Linked DNA regions of Rhinolophus ferrumequinum. The protein of the gene in region 3 interacts with the protein of the main gene of each other region in a pairwise test. Links are inferred from orthologs where the notes say so. Each region holds a gene or a part of one and is shown on either strand. Other genes may lie near its edges. The genes, in order: SNX10, MYG1, ARL6IP1 and TUFM.

Region 1 (7,994 bases), on a different chromosome or scaffold from region 3:
GTTCTAATGTTTGGTCTTTGTCCCTGTTTCCTGACACAGGGCTCCTAAATCCCTTGGGATTTCCAAGATCCTTCAGAGAGAATTTTGTTCTAATGAGGTGACTCTTGGGCTCTTCCATAGCTTCAGGATGAGGGCTGGTCACCAGAAAGACCATACCTTTGATTACAAGCCTGGAACTTTCCACCCTACCCCTCATCCTCCAGGAAGGGGAGAAGGACTGGAAACTGCATTAACAATCCATAATGCCAGCATGAAGAAGCTTCCATAAAAATCCTGGAAGTAGGGATTCAAAGAGCTTCTGAGGTGGTGAACACATCTAAATGCCGGGAGGGTGCATACCCCAACTCCATGGGGACAGAAGCTCCTGCGCTTGGAACCCTTCCAGACCTCACCCTATGTACCTCCTCCTCTGTATCCTTTATCACAGGCTTTGTTATAAAATAAGCCAGTAAACGTGTTTTCCTGAGTTCTGTGAGCCATTCTAGCAATTATTAAACCCCAGGAGGGGGTCATGGAAACACCGATCTATAGCCAATGGGTCAGAAGTACAGGTGACAACCTGGAGCTTGTGATTGGCATCTGAAGTGGGGGCAGTCTTGACCACTTAAACTGTGGGATCTGATGCTCAACAAATCTCCTTTACACCAACCACACAACTATCCATAAACCTGGGCATGGCTATTCCTCTGTGAGCTGGGACCGTAATCCTGGGATTCCGCCACAAGACAAAAGCCTCCCTAGCCCATTTCCTACCACAAGGGACCCCTCTTCCCCTAATTCCAATGCTAATCATTATCGAAACTATTAGCCTATTTATTCAACCTATAGCTCAGTGTTAGAACTGAGTTGAATTGTAGGATATCCAGCTGGTGTTGCAGAATTGCTTGACGCATGGAAAACCCACCACACATCTGGTGTAAGAAGTGTTGCGAGTATGGTAGTAGTGTGAGAGTAAAGGAGAAACATAGTTGTTTTTTCTTATGGCTGTTGTGCAAAGACAACTGAACACATAGCATGTTGCATGACCGTATTTCCCATTATTGACATGTTAGCACTTTCTGTAAATGTTGGTCTTCTTACCAGCATTTTCTATTGGTGATAAAGCATGAGAATGTGTTCTTCTTAGTGCTTCATTCTTTCCCCATTTATTTATTTATTTATTTACATTAATTTCATTGGGGTAACATTGGTTAATAACATTATATAAATTTCAGGTGTACAACTTTATAATACGACATCTGTATAGCCTGTTGTGTGCTTGCCACCTAAAGTCTAGTCTCCAGTATTTCATCTTTTTTTTTTTTTTGTAGCTGATAAACAACAGAAATTTATTGCTCACAGTTTTGGAGGCTTGAAAGCCCAAGCTAAGGGGCCAGCATGGTCACCTTCTGGTGAGCTTTCTCTTCCCAGTACATAGACGGTGCCTTCTCACCGTGTCCTCACATGGCAGAAAAAGCTCCAGTATTTCATCTTTGAAACAAAAAATTCAACTACTCTTCTTTCAAACTTCTGAGTGGCTTAGATTAAAAAAAAAAAATCTTAAACTGTTTACAAATGTTATAAAGACTTCTATGAGTAGTTTAGAATTTTCTCAATATTGAGCAATGGAATTAAGAAATAAATTGGATGTTGACACTGATAGGATATTCCAACAATCATTAACAAACCCCTGATTTCAAATGTTGGTGTTCAACAAAGCAGCTTCCGGTGGTCATGGATTTCTTTATGATAAACAGTTGTTACAAAATCAAATTCTTCAAATAAATGTATAGTACTCAAATACTGTTTTCTCTATTTTATAAATGGAGTTCATTTGAAGAAAGGATCCCATAGCTAAAAATGCTTGAAAACCACTAAATCAAACCACTGTGACTCTGAGAGAGTCAGTTTGGGCAGGAGAACGGAAAGCAGAAGATATAATAACACCAAGATCTGACCACATAAAATGTTTGGGACTCGGACCTGAGTGGATCAGGGGAAGGGAGTAGGTCAAAGGCAAAGTGTCAAAGTTAGTAGGTTTGGAGTTAATTGAGAGACTAGTAGTCTACTAACAGAAGTAAGGAAGATGGAGAGGTAGGTAGATGGATGAGAAATCTATATCCCTTTATCTAACAAATAGGTAATTGGGCTCAAAACGTTTTGCTAGTCTTGTTATGGGAGGGATGCATAAGAGAGGTATTTTGAAAAAAACACATTAGATTGATAACCAAGAGTGTATATTTTTATTCACATTAATCTGTATGTCTTCATACTATTGAAAAAAGATTATAATTGTAAAGATCAGGAATCGAAATCCAAATTATTTGTTATTTGTTTAAACTTTTTGCTCACTTCCCGTTATTAGTTGTTTGATGAATAATAAAAGCCATTTCTTGTACATTATGAATAGCTACCATGATAGTGTTTCCTCAAGAAAACAGGACCATTTATGTAAATTTAGAGTTTTTAATGTAATGTTATATATACGTAGTATCAGGTAATTTTAATTTCTGAACACTGACTCTAGATAGTTTTTACTGTCAGTGGATTTTGCTATTTTCCCAGGAGATGAAGGAAGGACTCTATGTGCTTCTTACTGACTTTTGAGTTACAGGCAGGGGACGGAGGTGGCTTTCCTTAATATGTCTAACTAAGGGCACTTAGCTTGGAGATGGAAGGGATTAGAGAAGAGGATCAAGTTATAACAGTTATAATAAATACAACTTATTGAACACTTTCTATGTACCCAACACAGCTCCGAGCTTTACCTGAGTTACTTCACTTAACACCTACAACAACCCGATGAGGCTGGTGCTATTATGATCTTCCCCGTTTTTCAGATGGGAAAAGGAGGCCCAGAAGGTTTGTTCTTTTCCCAGGATCACAGAGTGAGATGTGGCAAAGCTGGGGTTTGAACCTATTTAATGTAGAAGTCACTGTTGAGGCAGGATTTGGACAGGTAAAATAATTTCTTCTTGAAAGCAATTTTATGGTGATTTTATTAGCAGACTAGGATTTCTTGAGCACCAGAGAGTCTCCGTTTACCTGCCCACTGGTGACAAAAAGTCACAACCTAAAAAAGGTGGCAGTCACTTAGCTCAGTCCCCTGGATTCAGGTTGCACATTACAGTTCTTAAGCCAGAAACACCAGGCAGCTGCTACACTAACGGACTGGATTAAAATAACCCATTATTGCTCCATTCTACTCTGAATTCCTTTCATAGTCTTCTTTTCTGTTAGGGCCATAATTCTAACATGTTTAAAGGACTTCCAATAGACTCTCCAAAGGTTTTTGCTGCTCTGTCCACAGTTGTATGGTTATGTTCTGGATCATAATATATTCAGAAAGATTTTAATTTTGCTTAATCTTTTAGGACCATAGACACTTCCTGCGTTTTGTTTTCCAGTCAGTTTTTCTTTGCAGACCATAGGGACTAGAATTTGAAAAATACACTTTTGACTTTCAAAAGCGATTATGTTTACATTCACTTGTGTGCTGTGACTTGGGTGCAATTTTAGGAAATTAAATACCTCATTCAAGATTCAGTGATGCACATTCAGGATTCAAGAAATTAAGACATAACATTGTAGATTTGGAAGCCTTGTTATGCAAAGCCAATTTAGGTGAGGAGGATGGACATTTCAGGTGGCGTGGGATGGCCCTGAATGATAGTCAGCAGCCAGCTGTATCTAAGGGGGAAATTCTTGCATGAAAAATGAAATATTAGGCTGCCTGAAAAATGAAATATTATTCTGCTATGTAGTCACCAGTTAGTAATTTCAGTGATTGCAGTCATATGTTGCTTAATGAAGGCATTCTGATAGATGAGTAGTTAGGCGATTTCATCATTAATGCAAACATCACAGTGCACTTACACACATCTAGATGGTCTAGCCTACTACACACCTAGGCTCTGTGGTGTAGCCTACTGCTCCCAGGCTACAAGCCTGTACAGCCTGTTACTGTACAGAACAACATGGGATTAAGTCAAGCAAGAGAAAATGATGCAATTAAGAGATGCGGTAAACACGAGATGCATGAGGCTGTGGCAGGCAACTTTTCATAGCAAACCATTTTTTTATAAGTAGAAAGAGTACACTCTAAAATAATGATAAAAAAGGTATAGTATAGTAAGTACATTAACCAGTAACATAGTTATTTATTTTCCATGCAAACAGGCACTGCCCAAGGTGCCATTTGAAAAATAGTTTACTGATCCCGGCCCCTTGACAGATCTCATTTCTTTTTCCCAAAAAGTTTTATTGTGAAAGATTTCAAACATACAGAAAAGGTAGAAGTATTTTATAGTACGCACCCATATGCCCACCAGCTGGATTCCACTCTTAACAGCTGTCACCTTTGTTCATCACATGCTCTGTTCATCTCTACCTCTCCCCATTAATCAATCCTCCCCATAACTAAGGGGGCGGGGTTAGCAAGCTCAAGGTGGCTTTCATGTGTTGATTCCAAAGGGTGCCACTTTGCCACCTTCAGCCTCAGCGTCCAGGCAAGCTGCTGTATTTTCTCCCTAGCCGGATTTCAGTGACGGGAGGAGGCATCTGGCCTCCGGCCCAGCGGCGCCCCCCCGCGGCTGCACCGCTCGCCCCAGTCTCGCCCGCCCAGGGTCGGCCTCCAATTCCGCGGGCGGGCAGAAGGGCGGGGCGCAGCGGGCGACGCGGGGCCGCACCTGGGCTGGGCAGTGTGGTGGCGGCGGCCGGCTCAGCGGAAGCCCGAGGCCTCGCGGCGGGCGGTGAGCGCGGGCGCGGGGCCGCTACGTGCGCGGGGTGCGCGGGGCTGCGCTCGTGTGCGCTCCTGGGCGCTCGCCGCCGCCGCCGCCGCCGCCGCGCCTTTGAGTCAGCAAACTCCGCAGCCCGCCAGTCGTCCTGTGCCTGACAGCCCGGAGGAGCCGCGTGTAAGTGACAGCAGACCTCCCGCGGAGGTGTCCCCTGCGCCGCCGGGGTGGGGACCGCAGCCGGGGGTTGGGGTGGGGCGCGCCGGCTGCCCGTGCCTTTCCCGAGGCGTGGGGCCCTTCCCGGTGCCCAGATGCCGCTCCCTGCGGGCTGGGAAGAGGTTTGGGTCTTCTGGGATCGGAGCAGGGCAGCTGCCTCCTTTCCAGCCGAGGTGGGCAGGGGAGGAAGAAATGGTCATTTGCCGGGGGGTGGGGGGGGGGGCCTGGAACGTATTGATCCAGGGGTTCTCAGGTAAAAAGAGGAGAGGGTGGGGCAGAGGTGGAATCCTGGATGCTAGAAAAAGTGCTGTGGCACCTGCCACCGGGCCCGGTTTGGGTGGGTATGCTGTTATACGTGAAAGGGGAGCTTGGGGTTTAGGGATTGGGAGGGGTGGGCAGGTTTGTTTTTCGTGGGATTGTGGGATTGAGGGAAAAAGCCCTAGAGAAAAACCTCGTTGACTGAGTACCAGGTTTGGTGCCACAGGAAAGCAACGACCAGTTTTTCAGTTCTGATGCCTCATACTTGTGTTAAGATTATACACGGGTTATTGGAAGGAATGGTCACATATTGAGAGCAACATGTCCTGCTTGAAAGTGTTTTAAAAAAAAAATCCGACAGTACGTTTTAAAGATCTTACTGCCTTGATTCAATAATTCATGAATCGGCCAGCATCCTGTCCAGCAGATAGATAGGAGCTCCGAGGAAGTACAAAATGGAAGACTTTTATAGGCAGAAGGGAGTGGGACATGGAAGTTATACTAGCAAAACGATGATTGGCTGTGGAAAGGAAACCTTCCTTAGGGGAGGGCAGGGGTCTGTCAAACAGGTTACTTCACCAGGACTGACCAAGTCATTCCAGATTGCCTGATTTAAGATCCATTCCTGGGAGAGGCAGAAACTGTAATTAAGTTAGGTATTGTCTCTGGTGACGTGGGGCTTAGCATAAGTGACTCCATTTTGGAAGGGCTTCTATTTCTGCAAGAAGCATTAATATGTAAGAATATGGGAATTAGAAATTTAGAGCAGAAAGGAGGCTTTCCTGTGATCTCATTCAAACCTTTCATTTTAGTGACAGGATAATTAAGGCCTGGGGAGGGGAGTCATTCAGCCAGAAGGGAGCAGAAAGAGGCCTAGGTTCTCTCTCTGCAGAGTTCTCACCGCCTTTGGGGGCATGGGGTGCGTGTAGGCTTGGAATGTATGAACTCTCTTTTTCCCGTTGGCTAGAGGGGGTGATGTGGCTGCCACCAGTGAGAACCAGCTGCTCCAGCCATTGACCAAGCTTAGCTGGGGCTCCTTAATCGCTTCTGCTGCTTCTGCCATCATTCTTGAGGCCTCTTTCTTTCTTTCTTTCTTTCTTTCTTTCTTTCTTTCTTTCTTTCTTTCTTTCTTTCTTTCTTTCTTTCTTTCTTTCTTTCTTTCTTTCTTCCTTCCTTCCTTCCTTCCTTCCTTCCTTCCTTCCTTCCTTCCTTCCTTCCTTCCTTCCTTCCTTCCTTTCTTGGCATGGTAGATTTAAAATTGACTAATAGGGCTGTTTTGAATAAAGATACAAAAATAAAATACATGCAGAAGTAAATACACGAAGGTGTGAAGTACAGTGATTAGCACTGACTTGTATTTAACTGGATCGTGCTGTTTCTTCTGCCAGTCGATTGCATTCTTATTTTTGAGGGTACTATCTCACTTAGGTGAGGAAGTTGGTGTCGTAAGAGTGGGGAACTTGCTTAGGTGACACCGCTCCTCACCAGGTCTCTCTTGCCTGCTGTTCCTCTCCCTCTACGCTGGGCTGTGGTACGAACTTCCTCTTATTTTACTTTACGAAGACATCGTGGAGCGTGGTATCTGACAAACTAGAAATAAACACCTTCCTTCTTTCCCAAGTAAAAGTGTATTCATTAAAGACTAACGCTGGTGTACTACAGCAGTTCTCCGTGACTTTGGAGCGCTCATGATGTCTTTCCTGAGCCTGAGGATCTCCACTTTCATTTTGAAGGGCTCACTGGGTTAGGTAAGCTATTGTGGGAAATGGCTTGTTTTCCCTCTGGGTGGCAGGGCTGTAGTTTAACAACCACTTGTGAAGGGCGTAGAACTGGTTGAGAGCAGGGGCCAGCCTTTGCAGTCTTTCATTTCTAATAGTGGCAAAAAAGAACTTTTGGCCAAAGTCATGGTTGACTTCCATGGAGAATACCTCAAATTTTGGACGGTTATCACAAGTTTTTTCTTTCTCTTAGAAGTAATCTAGTCGGTATTCATCAGCTCTTATGTTCTCTAAGCCTTATTCAAATAAGAGGTTGGACATGGTAGTGGTTACAACTTCTGGTCTCAGACTCATCACAGTGGAAATCTTGGCACAGTTGTTTGCTAGCTGACGTACTATCAGCAGGGCGCTTCACCTCTCTAGGTCTCATCTATGCTTTATTCAGAAATGTAAAAAGGTGATGATTATCCTTGTCTCCCATAATGATTGATAGCAATAGCCGAAATTTTTTGAGCACTTATTATGTGCTAGGCATTGTGAAAAGAGGTTTGGTGTGGCAGTCTCGTTAACCCTCACAACAAACTTATGAAGCAGATTTTATTTAAACTGGGAAACTAAGGCATCAGGATCTTTATGACTCCCCTAATCTCTTTAGCTCACAATTTTAACCACCCAGCGAGTGTGTCCCAGATTTCTGTCATAGCTAATAATTATTTAGGGCTTTGTTACCAGACCCTGTTTACATACCCTGTGTCTATTAACAGTCCTTGAGCTAGGTCATGTTTTTATTCCCGCCCCTGCCTTTATTTTACAGTTGAAGAAACTGAGGTACTGAGCCTAAGTCAGACAACTACTAAATGCTGCAGCCAAGGTCTGAACTAGGCAGCTTGGCCTTGGAGTGGGTACTCTTCTCTGTGAATGTATGTAAAGGGCTTAGCCAGGACTCAGTGAAGCGCAACTCTTAAATGGCACTTTATTTTTACGTAATAACCATCCCCTCCTCCCAGTCTCTGCAGAGGAGATGCTTTTAGTTCTTTAAATGATTCAACTTTGCTTAAGGTTTTGTGATTCTGTATACATTTCTGTTGTA
Region 2 (7,016 bases), on a different chromosome or scaffold from region 3:
GGGCCAGCAGCTTGTGCCCGAAGTGCAGATAGATGAGTCCCGCACTGCTCAGCTTGGTCTGCCATGGCTTTCCAGGGCACAGGGAGCTCATGGTCTCTGTGAAAGACCTGAGGAGCACAGGGAGATGGCGCTGAGGCGGAGCTGCCCTAGTTAACCCACAGTGTGCATGCATGTGCAGGCACAAGTGGGGGTGGGAAGACTGGGGAATACTGCAGGAGTTGGGAAGAGAAAGCCCAGCTGGGGAGGCTTTGGATTTTCCTTAGGGGTCAACATGGACCTCGGCTTGGAGTCTCCATGCATTCATTTGACAATGGTTAACTCAATGCTCACTGCATGCCAGGCTTTGTGTTTAGACATTGGGGATAAAAAATGAATAAGATACTGTTCAAGTTCATCTACTAGAGGCAGACAGACACACAAACAGCCAAGCGAATGCTCTAGCTAGGTTATAAACAGAAAGGGGGTGAGGAAGGGTTCAGGAGGAGAACTTGCAGGTCATTCCTGAAAGATGAATTAGTGGGTGAAGGAGAAAAGGTATTCCAGGTAGAAGGAATAACATGTACAATGGCTAAGAGACAGGTCTCCATGGAATTGCAAGAAAGGCAGCTTGGGTTTGAGGGTTGAGTAGCAAAAGAAAGTGGAAGGGTAAGCAGGGGCCAAATCATGGCAGGCCTTGTATGCGATATTTTGGAGTTTGGACTTCATCTGCAGGTAATGGGAGCCACTGAAAGACTTTTAAGCAGGCAAGTGCATGTTAGAAAAAGTATTGTGCCAGCCAGCATGGTGAACAGATGCAAGGAGAATACCTGTAGTGGTCCAGGTATGCGAGAAAGGCAGGACTTTGCATAGTAATGGGATAGAGAATAGGAAAAAGGTATGACAGTTGTTAGGGAAGTAGAAATTATAGCTGTAATTTCTAAATGCCAGTCCATCAGAATCACCTAGGGAGCTTATTTTTTTGTTGTAATGATCTTTATTGTTAAAAACTGAGTAAATACAAAAAGAATTATAAAATATTCATAAGGTATATATAGAGAGACTCATAACAAAAACTCCCCCAGATAAGGTTCAAACAGAAGCAAAACCAAATAAATTGTTGCTGGCAACAGACGTGCTAAACTATACACAACAAGGGTATGATGAACACACAATTCAGAATATTGCTTACTTCTGGGGGAGGCGTGCGGGGGGGTAGGATAGGGAAGAAGCACATGGAAAGGTGCGGACGCAAAGGTAACGGGAATGTTACAGATCTTAGGTAGGGACATTGGTTCACCAGTGTTCATTTTATGTTTTATAGTCCAGAAATGTTCGGCCAGCAACCTGAGTTTGGTTTTGAGGTCACTGGTGCCCTTTCCTTGAGTATGTCTAATGGAGAGATTGGGAGAGAACCAGCTGAATGAATAAACCAAGGAATGAATGGTATGAATTGAAGGGATGTGGAGCTAGGGTCAGCTCTTCTTTTGAAGACTGACTGAGAAGTGAGGGTGAGAGATTAGGTTGTAAATACCTGGAGGGTTCTCTCCCAACATCATTTATGAAAATAATATGTACACTTAAACAAAAGAGGGAGGAAAATACGTAAGACTTCAAACAAAATAATTTATCTTCATAATTCCTCAGAGATAACCACTGTAAACAATGAGGTATACATGAGGGAGAATTTTTTTTTGATTTGTTCCTTTGTTTTTAAGATGCGAGATGCCTGAGCGGAGTTTTAAGCTGCCAGCAAGGAGAAGTAGAAACACTGGTGGGAGACTTGCGTTGTGAAGTCCAAGAGGAGAAAGTAATAGATTGGAAAGGGGGCAAACAAGGGAACAGTGTTTCCTGAACTGGAAGGAGGGAGCTGAGGATGTTTGAGAGTGGGAAACAGGACATGCATGTAGGAGGAACTAAATTTCCTTGGAAAAGTAAGAGGCAGGGTGACTCGCTGAGGGATTTTGATGAGGTAGGGACATGAGGAGAAAAGAATTGGCATGGCAGTGTGGATAATGGGGTACCCTTGGAAAAGACAGATTTCCCGAGGGAAGAGTGTAAATAAAGCGAAGACCACACACACCAACTACCACCAACCACCACAATCACGTGGGCGCAGCAGTCTGAACCGGGGCAGCAAAGGCACATGAATGGATTAGTCCCAGCTGGGGTATTAATTGGCCTGACGACGGTGCTGGTGGGAGAAAAGTCTGAGCCAAGGAAGGAGGTGAGCCGTGAGGAGCCTACGGACTGACTGGGAGCCAAGGGCGGCCCGGGCAGATGCAAGGGTTCAGGGAGGTCCAAGGACAGGTGGATGGGCGCAGAGCAGGCGGAGAGCTAGAAGGATGGAGGGCTGCAGCCTCAGGGGACACAAGAGTTTGCTGTCTAGGATGAGGCAGTCCCTTTGCTGACACGGACGGCTGCATTGGAGCACTGAGAAAACCTGACGTGAAGAAAAGGTATCTGGGAACCCACCTCTGGTGATGGTCATATCGGTGTCTCTTGGGGTCGTATTCGCCACCCACGTCCACCACGATGTCGCAAGCAGCTAGTTTTTTGGGGTCCCGGGTCCGTACAATCTCCGCATCCTGCAGGGGAACACAGGTGAGGGGGCTGCCAAGAGCAGCGGGGGTTAATGTGAGGTTCCCACGGGAGCCGGGGAGGGTAGGAGTGCTCAGGCCGCCCGCCCGAGCTACCCCAGGACCCCGTTAGGAAAGGCGGGCAGCCCCAGCGTTTTTGGCAGGCTGTACCCGGTACTGCGGCAGGAGACGCAGCAATGCGCACGCCAGGGCCTCATCGCAGTGGAAGGTGCCGTTGTGCGTTCCGATTCGGGGCGCAGCCATGAGGCGGCTGCGGGGTCGCTTGGAGGGCGGCACGGACTCCGGGTTCAGCATGCGAGGCCGCACCTGGTGGAGTGGCGGAGGTAGCAGCGAGAGGAGACCGCGCAGAACTCCGCGGTCCATGCAGCTTCCCCCGCGCGCAGGCGGGGGCACCGACCCGGAAAGGGAAGCGGCCGCACAGCCCCACTTCCGCTTAGCGGCCGTTCCCACAGCAACCGGCCCCGCAGGCCGGGCAGGGTACGCAGCGCAGGCTTTCTCTCCCGCTCCTCCAGGGGTCCGAATGGAGCCTCCAAAATAAGCGCTGCCTCAGGCTCTGGGGACAGGCACACCCCCTCCACCACTGCCCTCCCAGCTCTTCACCAGTCCCTGGCTTAATGCAAGAAAAGACCAACATTTCTGCCCAGGTGGAACATTTATTAGCATTAAACATCCAAAGCCCTTCTCTTCCCTCCAAAAAAGTCCCAGGTCCCTCTGCCCCATTTCTGAAACAAGCTCTCAGGCTTTGGCAGCCTGAGTCACTCCCAGGGCTGTGAGCTGCTGAATCTTCTGGCTCATCATCTCCATGACAGCTGTGGGGAAAAAAAGACCCTGGTCAGGTGCTAAAGGGGAGAACCCAGAGTTAAAGAAAAATGACAGTGAAGTTTTAAGGACAGGTAGACGACCAACTACAATTAATAAAACTTTGAACAGTGATCCACTGTGGGGTACACACACACAAATTTAGAGTCTACAATGTGTCAGTAAATATGACAACTACTGGGATATAAAAATGAACAAAATGCAGTATTAAATGAATCAGACATAACCAGAAAATTATAACGTGGGAAAGATTTTTGCCTTTGGGACAATGGTTCTCAATCCTGACTGTGGAAAGAATCACCTGGGGAGTTTTTTGTGTTTTTTTTTTTTTGAAAAAAACTGAACCCTGGAAACCCTGCCTGCCCTCAACCCCACCACCACCACCCAGGTTGACTTAGTTGGTTTGGAGTGGGCCCAGGCTTTTTAAACTCCTTGAGTGATTCTAATGTACAGCCAGGTTGCAATTGCTAGTACTTAGGGCTATATTTATTTCTTGTGCGTTCATTTACATGGATCTCCTCCCTCACTCCATCCCCATGAAATAGGAACTCTGCAAGAACACAGGCATGAATTCCTTCCTCTAAATTTCTCAAGCACCCAACCCAAGTATCTACAAATAGTGGGTATGTAATGCACAGAATCTAGAGAACAACACATCAAGACACCAAAGAGAAAGACATGGTTTTAATCCAGCAAAGGGGACACCCCCGTGGTTCTCAAGGCAATTCATGTTGTCTATCATGGAGGCAGAAAGGGTCAAGAGGTGCCCATACCAAGCTTACCCTGTTTCATGGCATGCTTCTCCTGCAGAGCTGGCTGGATTTTCTCCATTTGCTTCGTGAGAAAGTCTATCTTCCTCTTGAAGAAGTCCTTAGCATCCTCAGCTGTCTAAAAGGTCAGAGGTGGATGAGGGGTTAACAGGACACCCCATGCTGCATTCTAAATCTTCCCCTAAACTCCCTTTCCCTGCTTAGAGGGGCATCCACATGCTTCTTTCCACTCACCTTCTCTACATAGTAGCCAGTTCCCACATCGATGAGCACGTGTTCCACATCATGTAGCTTCCCAGGGACATACATCTGAGAAGCAAGGATTAAGGAAAAACTAGCCCAGCATGAGTCATGATTCCTTATCAGCAAGCCTGCTTGGCCTCCTAAGAACCTCTTTTGCTAAAAAGCTACAAGGCACAGGGACTGAATAATCTGGAGGCCTTAGAACAACATCTATAAACTCCAAATGTGGAGAGACAGAGAAGTTGGTTCCTTATGGAGAAAACGACATACACTGAACTACTCTCTTGCCCTGATCCCATCCCCCACCCTCCAAGCAGTGTTTACAATTCTTCCCATTAGTCCCTCCAGAGAGACTACAGTATTTTCCTACTGTAAGTAGAGTAGTAAAAGTGAAAAGCCGGTCTCACTTCCCCTCAACACCCCCAACCATGAACTAGTTAATTCCTGATGGATTTAATGTTCATTAGTTAGCCAATCCCTACTACATTGCTATTTCCGTGTTTCTGTTTTAGCTTGTCAGTTCTCAGACTGCAGGTGCTGTACTGTGGTAACCTGATCATTCAAGTAAAACAATCAACAGGTAGCCACAATCCAGGTTTCTTAGTAACAGTTTAGGAATTAAGAGCCACAATTACGCTGAATTGAGGATTAATAAACAGAGCCAACTCCCTTGTTCCTATATTCTACCCTTCTATGGCTTATGTCTTCTAAGTTATTAGTAAAAGCGTAAACCACCAGTTTTATCTCCATGTTAGATTATATCCTCAAACAGCAAAGGGAAATAATCACACCTCAATTCTACATGCTCTTTGGTGCTCACAAGGCATTAGCTGCATGTCGGCCCCAGGTTATACATAAATAGGAGAGCTGGGCATATAGTAAGTGTTCTCAGAATCATGGGGGCACTCTGGAGTCATCAAAACTACACGCCTTTTTTGCGGAGCAGGGGTGAGGGAGAAAGGAAAGGGCAGGGAGTTCCTGTAGAAAGGATACAGAACTCGTCAGGGGGACGAGTAATTCTTTCCCTGTGAAAACAATTAAGACAAACATCTGGGGAAGGTTGGCAGCTCCAACCTTAAGAGGTTGAAGGGAGTTCCTATATGGCACAGCGCAGATAGTATGAAAAGAACAGAAACGGGCGGCAAGAGCAGAGGAATGTCCCGTACATTTCAATTCTGGATAGGTAACATGCAAAGGGCTCACGCTGCAGTACATAATACGTAATGAATTGTTTTCTCGTCTCACATAAGGAAGACTGGAGTAAGGGGCGGGACGAGAGAAGCCGGCTCACCACATCCCCCAGGTTGCCTTCGCGCGCCTACCCCATACCCTCGTTGTGCTTGTTCAGCACGTTCAGACAATCCTTGGCTTCCACATACTTGGTCTGTACCACCTTGAGCTGGGCAATGGACGTAGACAAGAATTCCACTTCCTACAGAGTTCAGGAAAGAGGGTCAGTGCAGGGACTGGAGGGGGGGGGGGCACCGCCAGAGAAGGGGTGGGGGTTTCGCAGGGGAAGAGAAGCCTTCCAAAGTGGGGAGGAATGGGGGGGGAGAGGGCGTACGCGTGGACAGGAGGGATGTGAGGCGGGAAAGGAGTATCTCTGGGGCCCGTCCCCACCTGGTCCAGCTGGTTCTTGAGCATTTCCAGCTGCGGTAGATTCAGCTCGGTGATGTTAACCGACTGCGCCATATTGGGAAGGAAGACTCAGAAAGCGGAAGCCGGCTTCGCGAGCGACGCTCTAGCTGTCCCTCTGCGCATCTCGATGGCTGTGCCTGGAGGCGTCGCTGCGCCAAACATCTCTATGATCCTCCGTCCCGAAATGGAATCTCGCCTTGGATTAGAGAAGATAGCCGCACGTTCTTTTCATAAAACATCCCAAGCCTGGCGTAGTCAAGTTGTAGTAAACAGGACTCCTGCCTTCAAGGAACTTAAAAATCTTAAAAGTACTCAGGCTGTAACCACAATATTGCAGAGCAATGCTTGCTACTCCACGTGGGCGGTATAAACCCAGTGACTGACAGGCAAGGAAGACGCCTGTGAAGTTCTTGGGTCAAGGGGAGTAAGTAGCATCGGGACAGTGGTGCTTTGGGAAGATGAAGCAGGAGAGTCTGTTGGTGAAGAGAACAATAAGGAGGCAAGTTATCAACCAACTACAGCACGAGGTTTATTAGTAAATACAATGTTTTACCATGTGCTAGATGTGAGGGATACATGAATGTGTTCGATCAGTGCTTCTGAGATTAACAATTTAATTGGGGAGCGAAAAGTCACACATAAGCAGCAGACCACAGAATCTGAGGCCAAACCAGGCCCAGCTTTGTCCTGTGGTTTTGCCCTTCTTCCCAATACTCTCAGACTTGAACTGCAAACTGTTCCGTTTACAATACCACATAGTGGGAGGAGAGTGGAGAGGCACCCGTCATATTCAAATGTTTTCAGATGAACTACACAAAACAAGGTTTAAGTAATATGTCTTTATTATATTAAAGTTAAATTAAAAGATAATGTTTCATATAAAACACTGGGGGAAATCACTTAAAATATTTATCCTAAGGGTTAAATCGAAGTATGGGAGGTAGAACAGTCATACGGCTTCTATCAGCAA
Region 3 (7,463 bases):
CAAAAATTCTAGGTGCTAGAATGGGAACAAGGTAGTCAGCCAAGCACAAAAACATAACAAAACTGGAAACACCGGACAGAACAGATGGATCGAGATAGTAGATAGTCCTGTTTAAAAAAAAAAAAATGAACAAAGGTTAGAAAAACATAGCCATTATTCCTAAGTGTTTATTCACTTTGTCCTCTGGTTCTCAAAAATGTTATTTTGCCCTTTTCATTCTAATTTTCTCACACATGGTTTTCTGGAAGCTTCATAACATCATACATAGCTGCAGTGTAAATACCAAGAGACAAAAGCTCTTTGGGATCTTCAATACTTTTTAGGAGTGTAAAGGGTTCTAAGGCCAAACGGTTTGAGAGTCACCGAGTTATTCAACTGACTTAGGTCACCAAGTTTATGGAAGTACTACAAATTCTGCAAACTAGGCAAACGGCTCAAAGAAAAGGCATTTGTTACAGATTACACATTACAAAAGACTTAAGGCTCCTCCATAAACAGAGGCTGTGTATTACCTAAGCCCTTATTAATAACAAGCACAACCTTAAGGAACAGAAAAGCTCACTTACAAAAACACCAAAGAAACCACGCCCATAGTGGCAGGTGGAAACCAGGCTCTTTCCCACCGCAGGACTTTATCAGCCATCAGCATCACTTCTCCCCATCCTTGCAGCTGCTCTTCCAGACCTGCAGTCTCTTCCGCCTACATGTGATCAACATTTAAAGCCATCATTTTACTACTCTCAACATTTCTGTGGTTCCTAAAGTTAAATTCTTGTAAGGCACCAAGTATGTAAAATAGCTGTTAATCAAATCACTATCTTAAACAAATTAGTTTCTAAAATACTCTACAATGTTGGTACCAATGACAAAAACCAACGGAGGAAAAAAGCTATCATTTAACGGTCACCTCCCAAGTCTAAGAACTGGGTTACTCTTTTCAGGTATGATGCAACATAATCCTCATTGAGCCCCTCAAGGTAGGGATAATTACCCCCATTTTACAAGTAAAGAATGGTTAACTAACTCCCCCAAAGTCCTGCCCTAGGAAGCAAAGTATCCAGAGTATAAAATTAGATCACTTTATGTTCGTTCATTTCGGGTGGTTGGAATTGATCTGTTGTCTTGTCATTTCATTGATTTAAACCCCTACTTCTAAGTCCATTAGGAAAGCCTTTCCCTGAACAGCACTCAGTTTCCAAAATAGCTCTTTGTGTAATGGAATCATTTAGATGTTGACATGATTTGCACATTTAAGAAAAACTACTTTCACCAAAATATATGACTCATTTTAAGCTCAATATATCACCTCTATAGTGCTTCTCACGTTTATCAGGACATTTTGGTTAGACTTCAAATTTCTCTGCTAATCTGACAATCAGCTGCAAGTGGACTTGTAGGATGAGCTAATGTGGCAGAAAGTCCTCTAGCTGATTTTGACAGAGAAAAAAACATTGCGACAAGATACCCATGTGTCCTTAAAAAATGTTATCACAGGGAAATGTGCAAATGACAGCAGCCAGCGCAGCTTAATCTTAATGAAAGATGCTCTCTGTGCCACACTGATCACCTAGGGGACCTCAGTATTTCTGACTTCCCATATCATGTTTAATAAATAAGAGATTACTATGTGAAAGAAACTTGACTAAGTATTTTACACGCTTACACTTTAAACGTCCCAACAAGCTAAAAGGAAGGTGTTACTATCCTCACTTACAGATGAGGAAACTGTAACAAATACACAGACGTTAACAGATCTGAATCCAGGAAATCCAAGGCCAAGAGCCTTGTCCTCCCGAAAAGTCACACTGCTCTACCGGAAAGAGTCCTGACCTGGGGTAACTTCTCTGTGCTTTGATCATCCTCTAAAAAGGAACCTGGCTGGGGCTAACTATGGGGGGGCGGGGGGTGTAAGGAAGTCATGCATTTCTGTGTGTGTGTATAAAGGGGTAATTCATGCATTTGTATTTGTGTGTGTGTGTGTGTGTGTGTGTGTAAGGGGGTAAGTCATGCATTTCTAAAAATGAATGCAAAACGAATATCGCGCGAACCGCCCTGCAAAATCTCTTAATTCGTCAGCACCCGGGCTCTTGGATAATCAAAAGCCCAAACTTAAATTCTTTGCTCCCTCTATTCACTGTGATTGTGGTGTGCAGCTGCCTTTCCCTGGAGAAAGGCAACGGAGAAAATGCACGGATTTCTCTCGGTTTTGCCTCCATCGTGCCATGAAAATCGTAGTGAGGTCAAACTTGTCCGCCTGGGATACAACCAACCTCACTCCAGTGCCTTCGTACCCCTGCTTATTCTAAAGTCGTCCTGCGACCCCCAGACTTACACATTCCGGACAGACGCCTGGACCTCCCACTGTCCTGCCAGCCGTACCCCACTCCCAGTTCCCCAGGGTGAGCTCGCAGCCTTCCTGCCATTTCAAGCTGTGCCAGTTCTAACCGAACTTCTCGGCAGCGGCCCTTTGACCCTCCACCCCTGCGCAAGTTTGGGGCAAAAGAACGAAGTGGCATCCCGATTAAGGTCAAAGAGAAGGAAACCCGCATACGGCTGGGGCCTAGGCCCTCGGCCCCGGGCTTGTCACAGCCCCCCTTTGCCCACTTCCTCAACCCGTATTCGCGGTGACTGGTCACGCACCCTCCTCGCTCCTTCGCGCACCTTTTCCAGAGAATGTTAGGGGACGATACGACTGGCGACCGCCACGCAGGAGCTTCCCAAGAAGCCCGAAAGGGCAGGCGTCGCCGCCTGCGCCTGGAAACCGGGAGAGGGCCAGGGCCGCGGCGCCGCCGGCTTGAGCCTAACACAATACAAAAGCCTCACTCCTTTTCCCTTGCGTCGCGGCGCCGGGACTCACCAGCAGGTTGGTGCTGCGATTATCTCCCTCCGCCATCGTCCCCGAAATACCGCCTCACCGAGCACAAACCGCCCTCCGAAACAGCCTTCCTCCGAGACCCAAAGGGCGACCCCGGCGCGAGGACACGCCCCGCAAGCCGCTTATATAGGCCGGCCGCCTTTCCCGACAGCCCCCGCGAAGCTCGCTCCTCATTGGGCAGCGCGAGCTCAAGCTTAAGGGGAGCGGGACCAACTGCTGCCCAGCGCATGGCTTGAAATCGAGGTCAAAGGAAAGCGAGGCTGCGCAGGGCCGAGGGGGCGGGGACACAGCATGACCAATCAACGCACAGGAGATGCACGATGCCCCGCCCAGGCGTTTCGGAATCTGTTGAACGACCGCTGACCCGGGCTGGACTGGGCCTCAGTATCCCCAGGGTTGGCTGGCACGGTATGTCTCGGAACTTCTCCTGAAATTTAGTTCTCGAAGAAATATGCTACCCAGTATCAGGCGGAGAGCAGAGATGGACATGTTTTGCTAACCGCGCTGTAATGAAAGGGGCCGTCTGGGATCCTCTGCCCGACCAGGCAGTGCCCTCACCCTCGCTGTCCCCCGGGGTTTCTTTTTATTCCTGCTCTGGTCACTCTAGCCATGCCACTGACCAGTCTAGCCGAGATTTGCGACTCGGAGACTCGTGCCCACTTCCTGAGGTTTCGAGGACAATGGGAAAGAGCTATTTATGTAGATTTTCTGCATTTTTTCCTTCCTATTAGGGAAAAGGCTTTAGCTTGATTGGGAGGGATGTAGCGGGGTGATCGGGGTCATACTTTGAGGACTCATGGAAGATGCACCGGCTTTAAAGCTGGCTTATTTACAGGGGGTCTTTTGGAAAATTCTGTGTGAAGCCCTTGAGTTGCTTATGAAGCTACCAGGTTCCTCTCCAAAAAGGACTGCTTTTGACCACCTTACAACTAGAGGTCATGCTAACGTGTCAACTCGCATCAGCAGTGGAATTCATAAGCAATTGAGTAACTAGATGAACTGAGCTGTGCTGAGGCACTTCCCACGCCTTCTCTCTCCAGAATTTCAAAATGAATTAAGTGCTTCGATTTTCGTTATTCAAACAGAGGCATGCCAAATGTTGACCTGGTCAGATGTCTGTTTTAGGAAAACGTAGCATAGCTTTTTAACGTTTTATAGTCATCTAGAATATGCGATCGAATTCAAATTTGTTTTACAAGCATTCCTTACTACCAGGTTGAGAGTTCACAGAAGGCAGAAAAGAAATGTGAGGCAACGGTAGCTACAGAACACATTCCACCCTGAAGAAAGCCAGGGGGACAGCAGCATTGTGAATTTCAAGAAAGTCTTTGAAAAATAAAGCAACTGGATCAGATATAAATACTTGGTGGGGGGAGACTTAGCAAGGGAAGAGGGTCTTCAATAAAGTAATACTTTGGAGGTGTTGGGGGGCAGAAGATGGGTTATGTAGGTAAGATGCAGCAAGTTGATCTAGCGACCCCATTTTTAAGCTATGAAGTTTAAGGGCCCAGCCTTCCCCTACCTCTTCAAAATACGATGAAAGGTCGCAAACAGCAGCAACATAATTAGTGAATACATTGAGCACTGAGAGCACAATTTTGCGAAAGGCACAGTAACATCCACTCCCAAAGGACAGGCCCTAGAGTTATTAGGCTTTAAAAAGTGACAAAAAAAAAAAAAAAAAAAAAAAAAAAAAAAAAAAACCCCACACAAACAACAAAATGACATGTCTGTTTTGGGAAATCAGCTTTTGCTACAGAATACTTCTGGTTTTCACCCAAGTTCCCTATGTACAACTTAAAGACAACTTTTCAACACCAGCTTGTGAAATTGAGGTAGGTGGAAAAAATTAAAGCAACTCCAGCAGCACTTGCTTCGGGGAGTATTTTTTCCTTCCTCGAGGAATGTGTTCCCAGGACTAGATGCAACTTCACAGCCTAGGGGCACTGCCATCAGGTCTTTAAACTTCTAATTGGCCTAACTGAAAAAACACCTACCCTTAGTGTAGCTTCCTTTTGAGCTTGGTTTTTGTACTACAAAAACAGGATGTGATCTTTTTTTAATGTTTCCAATATGACCTTTATTGAGCAAGGACTGCTGTGACGTTTAACATCAATCAATGAAAGGCTGCAGACTGTGAATGTCAACAAGGTTCTCCCATGAACGGAAGTCCATTTTAAATGCACCAGTGAGGTAAACATAATTATTCGTACATAGCTTTCTTAAGGCTAAGAGAGTTCTGTTTCATTTGTTAGTTTTGGCTCAGTTGGTTCTTTGCATAATACAGCTCAAGACATGCCCCCTCTGAGTGGCCCCCCCTTCCAACAGTTTAGGAAATTGGCCAATCACTGAGCCGCTCAGGATGTGATCTTTTGAAACCTGCCAGATGACTAAACCGTTAACATAAATCCTAACACAATCTAGCAACAACAAATGCAGTCTGATTTCCAGACATTAAAACAAGCTGGACGTTTTACTTTTCCTTCAGAGCTTTCACACCCCCAGGAAATGTACACATCAATAATGTTCTATAGTTTTGTTTTTAAATGTTAAACAAAATTAAGCTTAATAAATTGTGCCTTAATACCAAGAACTCCCCCGTTGAAGTAAAATTTCTACTGCTGTTCAAAAGTACTATATAGAACTTTAAGGGTAGAACAAATTACTTTTTTGAGAAGTTGAAAAAGTTTTGGCGGTATTAATGCCTTTTTTTAAAAAAGCTACCCATATTCCAAAATTAAGTTCTGGAAACTACTTCAAGCAATAAATTCAGAGCTTAAATGCTATGTCTTTTAAGAGTTTATTTTTTGAAAAACAGGTATTTCATACAATCTTTGCCATGTCGATGCAAATATGCACAAAATAGGCAGGTATTTTGTTTTCCAAAAGATGCATTATGAACATTTTCAGGAAGCTGGTGTGATTTATTCAACTTTTAATCTTAAATACAATCACAGAATGATATCCGTCAGGAGGCATGACCACCTTGTGTACAGAGAAGCCACTTTATTTATACAACATTTACTAGGACAAGATCCAGTTCAACTCAATTTGCTCTTATAATGAGGGTAAATTAACAAGGGAGTGATGATGAGGTCACTGGCATTACAGATGGAAATACAAGGCATAAAAATTTAAACCAGAAAAACAACTGACACAAGAACTTGAAACAGGAGCTGAACCTGGGACTGTTCAGGAAAAGGAAAACAAAAATTCAGCCAGTTTTCAAAGAAAAACGTTCTACAAGTCTGCATTTCAGAACATGAAAGTCCTAAAGTTGACCAGCTTCCAAAGTCCTAAAGAGCTAGTAGTCGTAGTATGACGTTTTCACATTAGCACACCAGAGAGCTGTTCCCCACTTAAGCTCCGCCAAATTCCCATGGATGGCAAACGACTCCGAAGTAGGTCCCACTGTACAACCAACCCTGGAACCTGAAAAGCTGCTCTAAAGTGGAGTCCATCTGCACGTAAGGGACGGTGATAGTGTTACCCAAGCCTAGAAAAAAGTGCCACAAACCCTTAGGGGTCACAGCAAAGTGAACTGTCCCTTCCCCAAGGTTCAGACCAATTTGTAATGCTAGTCTTTTCTCCCATAGAACGAATCTTTCTAGTACAACCCAAATATTGAAAACAGAGGCTACCTTCTTGAAGTGACCCTCACATTGATATATTGTAGCTCCTTGATTTACGGAGAAGGAAGTTGTAGCTTTAACTTACTGGCACTTTACAAGTTCAAGATACAGAATAGAATGGAAGGTCCCTGGTGTTCAGTCATCTAACTTTACCTAAGACAGAGGTTCTTAAATGTGCTAATAGTAAAGAATCCGCTGATTTCTGATGTAGGTGAATAGGGCCAACTGGCTAATTGTAGGCTAACAGGCTTTCTTTAATGTGAAAAGAAGGGGGAGAAAAGCAGGAGGAGCTGGTGACTGCCAAAACAAGGTAAGCCCCCGGAGTAATTACACGTGTGTGGAGGAAAACAGGCCAGGAAGACTCTTCAGTTGAAAGTACTGCCTATAGTACAAGAAAGACTGAACGTTAACTCTAATATTTGGCTGTACTTGCATTGCCCTGCGGGGCATTTTTTAATGGCTCTTTCCTTAAATTTCACACGACAGAACGGGCACGATTAAACAACAAAAACAAAGCAGATAACACCAAACACTGGACAATATGAAGAAAGCTACATACTAAGCTTAGGTAAGAGAGGCAAGTGTTAAGGGCAGAAGTGATGGAGGTTTTTCTTTGTATCAGAAGCCCTCATCCGGAACCTGGGGCTTGGGCTCTGAAAAGAAGCCATGTGGGCAAGCAGATCAAGAGCTGGGTTATCAGTTCTCTCACATATCTCAAAAAAAAAAACCACAAGTGTCTGACACAAAAGAATCTTAATCATCTAGCAAACTATGTTAAGAACTCGATCAGAAAATAAGGAGGTGCTGCAAGACACACCAAAGAAACAGAGAAATACAGTTCCACGGCCTCCACAACTTTGTAGAGGAATCAACTAAAATTCAGGGCATTCTAGAAAACCGAAGACAACAAAACATTTAAGATAAACCAATTTCCAAGGGTACTTTGAGTTGAATTA
Region 4 (7,671 bases), about 14 Mb from region 3:
GTCAGCCGCGGCCTGCAGGGTGCCCTTCTGCCGCCACCTGTTTGCTGGGAAACGCAGCCAACGTGACAGGACGGCTCCTCCCAGCTGTCAGGCAGGTACAGAGCACAGGCGAAGGCCAGAGGGGGCCGGGGACAGGGTCACAGGAATGCACCTGAGAACACAGCCTGAAATTCGGGGTTATGCAGCTTTCCTTGTCTCGGACTTCTCTGAGCCCTGCGTACAGTGAAACTCAAGAGAAGCCGCCTTCTGCAAGCCTTTCTGTGCATAAATGCAAGTACAGCTAAGCCCAGGGAATACTGGATCAGGCCTCATTCACCCCAAATCCGTGGGTTCAGACCCTTCCATCGCTAGTTTCATCTGTGTCACCTGCCAGCCTCTCCGCCCACGGCAAAGTCACCCATATTGTCACGTCTCCGGAACTGTAAGTGCAGAGCTGATACGAAGAGCGCCCCCTACCCCGCGCCTTCACCTTCCCCAGCCCCCCGTACCTTCCCTGGAGGCAAGATGACACGACAGGCCATGTCCCACGTCAGGGAGAACATGACGGGCATGAAGTGAGACACAAAGGGCTTGTGACGGCCTCCTTCCTCTTTGCTGAGGATGTAAACCTGCAAGAGACAGCACGTGGCTGGAAGCTCTGCCTCTCCGGATGGGCTCAGCCCTGCCCACCTGACCTCCACCCTCCGGGCTCACCTGTGCCTCCACCTTCTGGTGGGGCTGGATGGAGCCTGGCTTGGCCATGACCAGGCCCCGCCGCAGGTCCTCCCGCTTCAGGCCGCGGACCAGGGCTCCCAGGTTATCGCCAGCCTCTGCCCTCTCCAGGCTCTTGTGGAACATCTCGATGCCTAGGAGGGAGCAGGGGAGACCAGGGAGGACGGGCTGGGGCAGAGGGGAGGCACAAAGCATCTGCAGGGACAGCCGTCACCCTGGAGCCAGCCCCGGGACCCCCAGGCTTCTGGTACCTGTCACCACCGTGCGAATGTTCTTGTTATGTCCCAGGAACTCACACTCGTCTCCCTTCTTCAAAATGCCACGTTCTAGCGTACCTGTCACCACCGTGCCCCGGCCTGGGAGGGAACAAGACAGGCCATCAGGGACCCTGGGCGAGGCTCTTGCCAGGGCGACAGGATGCGAACGGACACGGTTCTCACCGGGAATAGAGTAAACTGACTCCACAGGCAGCAGGAAAGGCTTCTCCAGGTCCCGGGTGGGCACAGGGATGTGGGTGTCCACGGCTTCCAGCAGCTTCTGTACAGACTTCAGGCCGAGCTCAGGGTCGCGTTGCTACGGGGGGAGGTGACAGGACTCTGACGTTTCCATCCTGCTTACCCAGAACCACACCCAGATTCAGCACAGCTCTGCTGCCCACCCCACCCTCTCTGCCACGCACAGCAGCCCCCTGCCTGGCTGCCTTCACCTCCAGGGCACAGAGCGCAGAGCCCACGATGACAGGGGTCTCCTCCCCTTTGTAGCCAAACTCCGTGAGCAGCTCCCGGATTTCCAGCTCAACTAACTCGACCATCTCGGAGTCCTGGACGGCATCTGCCTTGTTCACATACACCACCACGTGCTCCACTCCAATCTGCAGGCGGGAAAGAGACATGGGGTCCTAAGCGGCCCCGCTCCCTACTCTTCCTCTTTCCACTCCTACCCAGGCTCTGCCTACCTGTTTGGCCAGTAATAAGTGCTCTCGGGTCTGGGGCATGGGACCGTCATTGGCTGCCACCACCAGAATGCAGCCATCGAGGGGGGCGGTGCCTGTGATCATATTCTGGGTGCGGGAAGAGAAGAAACAACCTACTTCAGCCATCTCCTCGGTCCACATCCCTACAGGTCTCAAGCCTAGACGTCTTGAGTATCTCAGCCTCCTCCCCACAAGTCTCCCGTCTTTCCTGCCGGCAGGCGCTCCTGGCGCTGTCCCCAGCCCCACTCTCACCTTAACGTAATCTGCGTGGCCCGGGCAGTCTGTGTGGGCGTAGTGGCGGGCCGCAGTGCTGTACTCCACGTGGGCCGCATTGATGGTGATACCGCGGGCGCGCTCCTCGGGGGCGTTGTCAATCTCCTCGTACTTCTTAAACTTGGCCCCGCCTCCCTCCGCTAAAACTAAGGGAGGGCGGAGAACACACCTCTCAGCTGCGGTTCCAGGGGGAGAGGCCGGGCGCGGGCCACACCCCTGGGCCCCTCACCCTACGCGGACAGCCCCGGAGGGTGGTCCCCTCCCCTCGACTCCTCCAGCAGAGGTAACCGAGTCAGAAAAGCAGGAGCAAGGGTCTCAAGCTCCTGCCCAGCGACCTCTCGAGGGTAAAACGAAGCCTCCGCTTACAAAGCAGCCCCCACGGCGGGAGGGAGGCCGTCCAGCGTTCCCCCCAATGCAGCCATCACGAAGAAGTTCACGGGAGGGGAAAGCTGTCTCCTGCAACAGCTTCCAACCCACCGGCCACCCGAGCTCCGGCACCTGCGGCTCCACTAAACGCCTCCAGCGGCCCCTCCGCTGGCCCCGCCTCCCCGGCCCCAGGTCCCTCCCGCTGGCAGAGCGGGCGCCGCCGAGGCGCCCCCTGCAACCCCGCTTACTTTTCGTGATGGCCGCGGTCAGTGTGGTCTTGCCGTGGTCCACATGGCCGATGGTTCCCACGTTCACGTGGGGCTTGTCGCGCACATAGGTCTTCTTGGCCTCCACGGCCAGCCCGCGGCACAGAAGGGGCAGGGCCGGGGCCTTCAGCGACCGCAACAGACCCTGCAGCGCGGGGGTCGGGCCGGCGCCGAGACCTGCCGGGGCAGAGGTTTGGAGTCAGGGCGCGGGTCCGAGCCCGGCCCACTCCTGACGGCCCCCACGTGCTCCTGGGCCGCGCTCGCCCTCCCCGCCCCCTCACCGCTGAAGAGGGGCGTCGCGCGCAGCAGGGTGGTGGCCGCCATGGTGGTCGTACGCCCGCCCCGAAGACGGTACCGGGTGCCCGCGCGTGCAATGAGGAAAGGGCAATTGCGACTGCAGGACACTTCCGGCGGAAGTGAGGGCCCGGAGGGCAAATCCCGGCGCCTCTAGCCACCAGTTTTTATGGCCCTCGCCGACTTCCGGGCGCGGGACGGAAAATGTCAAGGTAGGTAGATGCTGGTGTCTTCGGGGCGGGGAAGGACAGAGGTTTCCACGACGCACTCGGCCTCCCGGGGGGAGAAAGTCCACGCAGTTCTCTCCCGCGGCCCTGGGGAGCGGTGTAGAGCGAGCGTCCCATAATGCACCAGCGCCCCGAAGCCTCATGGGTGTTGTAGTTCCCAGGGCGGCGGGCTGTTTTTGCGCTTAGTGTGGGAGGTAGGCAGGGCGAGACCGGGTCCAGAGGGAGGGGGCCCCGGCGCGGACTGCTCAGGAACGTCCTGGCCGCGAACCCCCTGGTGTCCGACCCACTGCGCGGGTCAGACGAGAGATCTGGCGGCCCTTGTCCCGCAGCTGCAGGTAGGACGAGGCTCTGCGGCCAGGCTGAGAAAGACGGTCCTGGGCGCCTTTCGGGGGTGGGACTCAACTGTGACCCATCTCTCCTCTGCGCTTTTCTTTTCTTATCTGTAACATGAGACTACAGGAGGGATATCTACTTCATACGGAGATCCTGACGTCTGGCTCGGAAAGGAAATGAGCTGGGGAGGAGGCAGGAATGGGGTCGTGGGGCCTCCAGGTCCCCCAGTCTTTGACTCTCGAATATCCACCCTCTTGGCTCACAGCCTGCGGGGACAGACAAAGCTTTGCCGTCTACCCCTATGGCCCTCAGGAGCCCCGGGAGTAATTCCCTTGCTCGTCGCCCCACCCTCCCACACAATTTCCCTAATGACACCTGAGGGTGAGCCTCAGGGACCTTTCAGAGCAACCGGAGCCTTTCTGGTCCCCACCGTGTCCCTAGCATCTCACACAGGACGGGGCACCCAGTGAGTGCTCAGTAAATATCTGCTGACTGACCGGATGCGTGCAAGGATAGTATATAATAACCTTCATCCATCGTCTTATCACCCTGGGATGGTAATAGCAGCAGCTCGGCCCTGGTTAATGTTTCTACAATTCATCACGTCCTAAGACTCAATTGACCTGATGGTGTTTGTTTCAAATAGATTCCCTAAATTCTTGCTTAGAGATGATGACTCAGTAAGGTCGGGGCACAGACAGGGAAACCATATTTATGTATCACACAAACACACACACACACTCTCACACACACACACACCCTTCTGAAGCTCAGAGTTTGGGACACAGTAAACTCGAGCTTCTATGGATCAGATATGCAAATGCTTCCCATTGGTTCACAGTCAGTGAATTGGTTCCCAGTGTTACTGTGTGTGGTAGGGCCCATATTCCCCCCATTTTACAGGTGAGAAAACTGCGTATGGGGATGATGAAGAAACCCAATACAACTGAATTCCGAAACAGTGTACACTTGACTACTGTACCAAACTGTCGTTTAACTATCCTTTTACTGCTCATCTAAACTGAAGAACTTAATACTGACACTTCGCTCCCTCTGGTCCTCCAACCCATCAGCTCTGCTTAGGGAGGGGCTGGTACAGTATAAAAAGGTGTGCTTGGTCCCCACTCTGTATCTCAGTCACCCTACTGGAAATTTGTCCTAAGACACTATTGGCCACTAAGGGATATGAGATTTTTTGGGGGTGGTACTTAAACTTTCTTCTTAAAGAAACTTAAAGCTTTCCATTTTCGTGGCGCTATATTTATTTTAACGCGTGTTAGTTAAAAAACAAAGAATAAACACAGTAAATACTGTGTTTAAGAAAATGAATCGATTTTAAACACGCTATTTGGTAGATAATATAGGTGGTATGTATATATGGCAAATGTGGGGGGAGGCGGTACATGAACAACTGAGATTTGAGAAACAGTGCTCAGAAAAGTAAGTCCAAAGGGAGAGAAAATTCTGTAGAGCTGTTGATGTAGCATCCTCTGTAAGTCAGGAGTTTTGATTTACAGAGAACAGAATTGACGCCGGCTGGTGTAAGCAGAAGAGGGATTTGTTTTAAGGGTATTAGGCAGCTTCCGGAATTGTGGGATGGGCTGGAGAAATAACGCCCCAGCCACAGAACTGATCTGACCTGATAAGAAAACTGTCGCTACGCCACCATACACTGCATGCCAGGACTGAGATTTGTCTGTAACAGCTACTGCTGTTGGCACTGAAGCCATTTCTGCATCAAGAAAGAGACCTTCTCTCTGCCCCGCACTCCCCACCCCCAAACACAGGTCAACTCAAAGCCTCACGTGCAGGTATCTGATTGGAGAAGCCTAGCTCGTTTGTCGGTGTTCTTGTATCAGGAGGCTCACAGATGTTCTGTATTCTGACTGACGTTGGGGGCCAGGGGATCTCCCCCAGATGTCCAGTCCTGCCTATGACCAATATCCCAGTGAAAGAGCAGAAGGAACACAAATGTCCAGGCTGTGGCTACGGTAGCGTGAATTTTGGCACGGCCACTAAATGAAATATTAGTGAATGGGCTCAGACTTGCAGAGACGAGAGGAGCCAGCCACCTGTGAAAATGCTTGTGAGCAGTGTTAAATGAAGCGGAAGCCTGGCTACTATAGGAAGGTGGCATCTGTACAAGACGGGAGTTGGGGGCCTTGGGGACAAGGGAAGTCGAAAATCATTGTGACTTAGGAGGCTGTGGATTTGTTTTGAGGAGGAAATTTTTCTCTCTTTCAAACATTTGTTTTCTGTGATTCCAGTTTAAAGAAAAACTTCTTAGTGCAGAATCTTGAACTCTTTAAAAAAGATACTCTTGAAATCCAATGGCTTTCCAGGTCCCCTCAAGTCTGTTCATGCTTCGGACACTTTGCACTCCTGTTCAACAGCCATTTTCCATCTTCCTGCAGCCAGGGCCCTGAGTTTGTTCCGGGCGACCTTTTCTCCTGTCCAGGAGTAAATCCTGACAGGTCTAGTCCACTTCTGGGGGGGGGTCCTATTCTCCTTCCCCGGAAGCTTGTGTCAGGTTCGGGGTGACTCCTTTGGGGCCAGTGATTGGTAAAGGATCTGCTTGGGTGTGTGTGTGTGCAGGGGAGGGGGGGTTCCCAAAAAGGGTCCTTCATTCTTAAGAAGGAGACACCAAACAAATGGACCTCCTTCTGCCTCTGAATGTTGCCAGGTCTGAATGGGAAGCTTAGAACTGCTGTGCCCATCCTGCTCCCAGGTGATGATACAGCCAAAATCCAGAAGAGGGCGAAGCGAAGAGGACCTTAGAAGGCTGGACTCCGTGTGGTATGTGATGATGGACGGTACACGTATTGTTTAAGCCAGACCGGGTCAGAGTTGTCTGTTATTTGCAGCCAAATGCGTCCCAACAGACACTGTCTCTTACAGCCCTTGGTACCCTGAGACGTATTTCTTGTCTGGGACTGAGTGACTTGGGCAAGGCCAGAACTGGGCTTCCTTAATCTCTGTATCCTCTGTGCCTGGCCACTGTCGGTCTCTGAATATTGGCACTTGAACTATGAATGCGCCTCCCAAACGGAAGAGTGCCACCGTGTGGTGCCCTGGACTTAACCATCCAAAACAGGATTCTCAGTTCTCTCCCTCACTCTTCCTCACACATCTAATACGCGGCGTCACCATTCTCCCTTCCCCTCACCCTACACCTAGCCCAGTACCCAGTCCTGCTGGTTCTCTCTCCAAAATATATGCTGAACGTGAACACGTCTCTCTCCACTATCAGTGCTGGTTCAGACGGGGACCATGTCTCATCTGGGCTACCTCACGATTTTTCCAAGGAACCTCCCGGCTTCTACTCTTATTCTCAGTACCTGTCAAATGCATCCTTCACGCAGCAGCCAAATCGGTCTTTAAAATGTGGATCAGAATTTAATCCCCCTTCAATGACTCCTTCTGACACTTAGCATAAAATCCATACTCCTCCTTGAAATGGGTGAGTTGTACGGCAGGTAAATTGTATCTCAATAAAGCTGTCATCAAAAATCCAAACTCGGCCTGTGGCCCCCAGGGCCTGCATAATGTGGCCCCTGGTACCTCTGAGCCCATCTAGTATGCGTTTCCTCTCCCTGCCAGCCACACGGACCATCCTGCTGTTCAGCAAACATCCCACCATTGTTTCCACCTCACAGTCTTTGCAGATGTTTTTCCTTGTCGCTTTCCCCGTGGCTCGTTCTTTCTCATCACTCCAGTCCCACCTCACATGGCACCTCTTCTATCTAAAGTAGCACCCAGATCATCCTTTTAGCAGCTCTCCTCCTTTGATTTTCTTCCTAGCACCTAAATATCCAAAATTATCTTAGTTTGCTTGGTTGTTTGGTTATTTTTTTCTGTCTCAGGACAGTAAGAACTTGTGTTTTACTCAAAGAACAGTGCCCGACACTTACGGGAATTGTGTGTTGAATCATTGCAGTTGGGTATTTGTGTTGGGCTTGTTAAGTTTCCTGCTGTTTGCAATGGAAAGCACATTGTGCATTCACATTCATTTTTAAAATAAAGCTGAGTCAGTGTAACTTTTGGTGCCTCTACTGTATTACCCATAAGGTGGGGACAGAGTGGCAAGGATAAACGGTATGATTTTTAAGATTTCCTGTAGCTCTGACTTCTCAAGGGAGGGCAGGGCCAGGTGTCACCGAAACGAGTAGTGGGCTGGCCCCCAACTTCGTGGCAAAATGAGGACGAGGACCCAGAGCTTTGTCATCAG

Evidence for each region.
Region 1: the proteins of ARL6IP1 (region 3) and SNX10 interact in binary tests that used the Homo sapiens proteins (3 or more experiments, as listed by UniProt). The two-hybrid records come from large-scale screens. The link is inferred for Rhinolophus ferrumequinum from reciprocal best matches to the Homo sapiens genes ARL6IP1 and SNX10.
Region 2: the proteins of ARL6IP1 (region 3) and MYG1 interact in binary tests that used the Homo sapiens proteins (3 or more experiments, as listed by UniProt). The two-hybrid records come from large-scale screens. The link is inferred for Rhinolophus ferrumequinum from reciprocal best matches to the Homo sapiens genes ARL6IP1 and MYG1.
Region 4: the proteins of ARL6IP1 (region 3) and TUFM interact in binary tests that used the Homo sapiens proteins (3 or more experiments, as listed by UniProt). The two-hybrid records come from large-scale screens. The link is inferred for Rhinolophus ferrumequinum from reciprocal best matches to the Homo sapiens genes ARL6IP1 and TUFM.

The regions. Positions count from the first base shown.
Region 1 is NC_046303.1:15,185,684-15,193,677, reverse strand, and holds the start of SNX10 (sorting nexin-10), read left to right. Parts: upstream 1-4,984; 5' UTR 4,985-5,023; coding exon 5,024-5,101; intron 5,102-6,836; exon of another isoform or gene 6,837-6,934; intron 6,935-7,994. UniProt on the Homo sapiens protein: Probable phosphoinositide-binding protein involved in protein sorting and membrane trafficking in endosomes. Plays a role in cilium biogenesis through regulation of the transport and the localization of proteins to the cilium.
Region 2 is NC_046293.1:53,190,294-53,197,309, reverse strand, and holds the start of MYG1 (MYG1 exonuclease), read right to left. Parts: upstream 3,002-7,016; 5' UTR 2,940-3,001; coding exon 2,727-2,939; intron 2,565-2,726; coding exon 2,452-2,564; intron 108-2,451; coding exon 1-107. Other genes in the region: PFDN5 (prefoldin subunit 5), read right to left, coding at 3,312-3,385, 4,178-4,283, 4,400-4,474, 5,402-5,433, 5,738-5,840, 6,029-6,100. UniProt on the Homo sapiens protein: 3'-5' RNA exonuclease which cleaves in situ on specific transcripts in both nucleus and mitochondrion. Involved in regulating spatially segregated organellar RNA processing, acts as a coordinator of nucleo-mitochondrial crosstalk.
Region 3 is NW_022680357.1:14,985,302-14,992,764, forward strand, and holds the start of ARL6IP1 (ADP-ribosylation factor-like protein 6-interacting protein 1), read right to left. Parts: upstream 3,011-7,463; 5' UTR 2,894-3,010; coding exon 2,858-2,893; intron 701-2,857; coding exon 567-700; intron 108-566; coding exon 1-107. UniProt on the Homo sapiens protein: Positively regulates SLC1A1/EAAC1-mediated glutamate transport by increasing its affinity for glutamate in a PKC activity-dependent manner.
Region 4 is NW_022680357.1:1,235,217-1,242,887, forward strand, and holds the start of TUFM (elongation factor Tu, mitochondrial), read right to left. Parts: upstream 3,005-7,671; 5' UTR 2,914-3,004; coding exon 2,871-2,913; intron 2,767-2,870; coding exon 2,572-2,766; intron 2,104-2,571; coding exon 1,937-2,103; intron 1,772-1,936; coding exon 1,667-1,771; intron 1,583-1,666; coding exon 1,418-1,582; intron 1,285-1,417; coding exon 1,152-1,284; intron 1,068-1,151; coding exon 963-1,067; intron 846-962; coding exon 694-845; intron 609-693; coding exon 489-608; intron 1-488. UniProt on the Homo sapiens protein: GTP hydrolase that promotes the GTP-dependent binding of aminoacyl-tRNA to the A-site of ribosomes during protein biosynthesis. Also plays a role in the regulation of autophagy and innate immunity.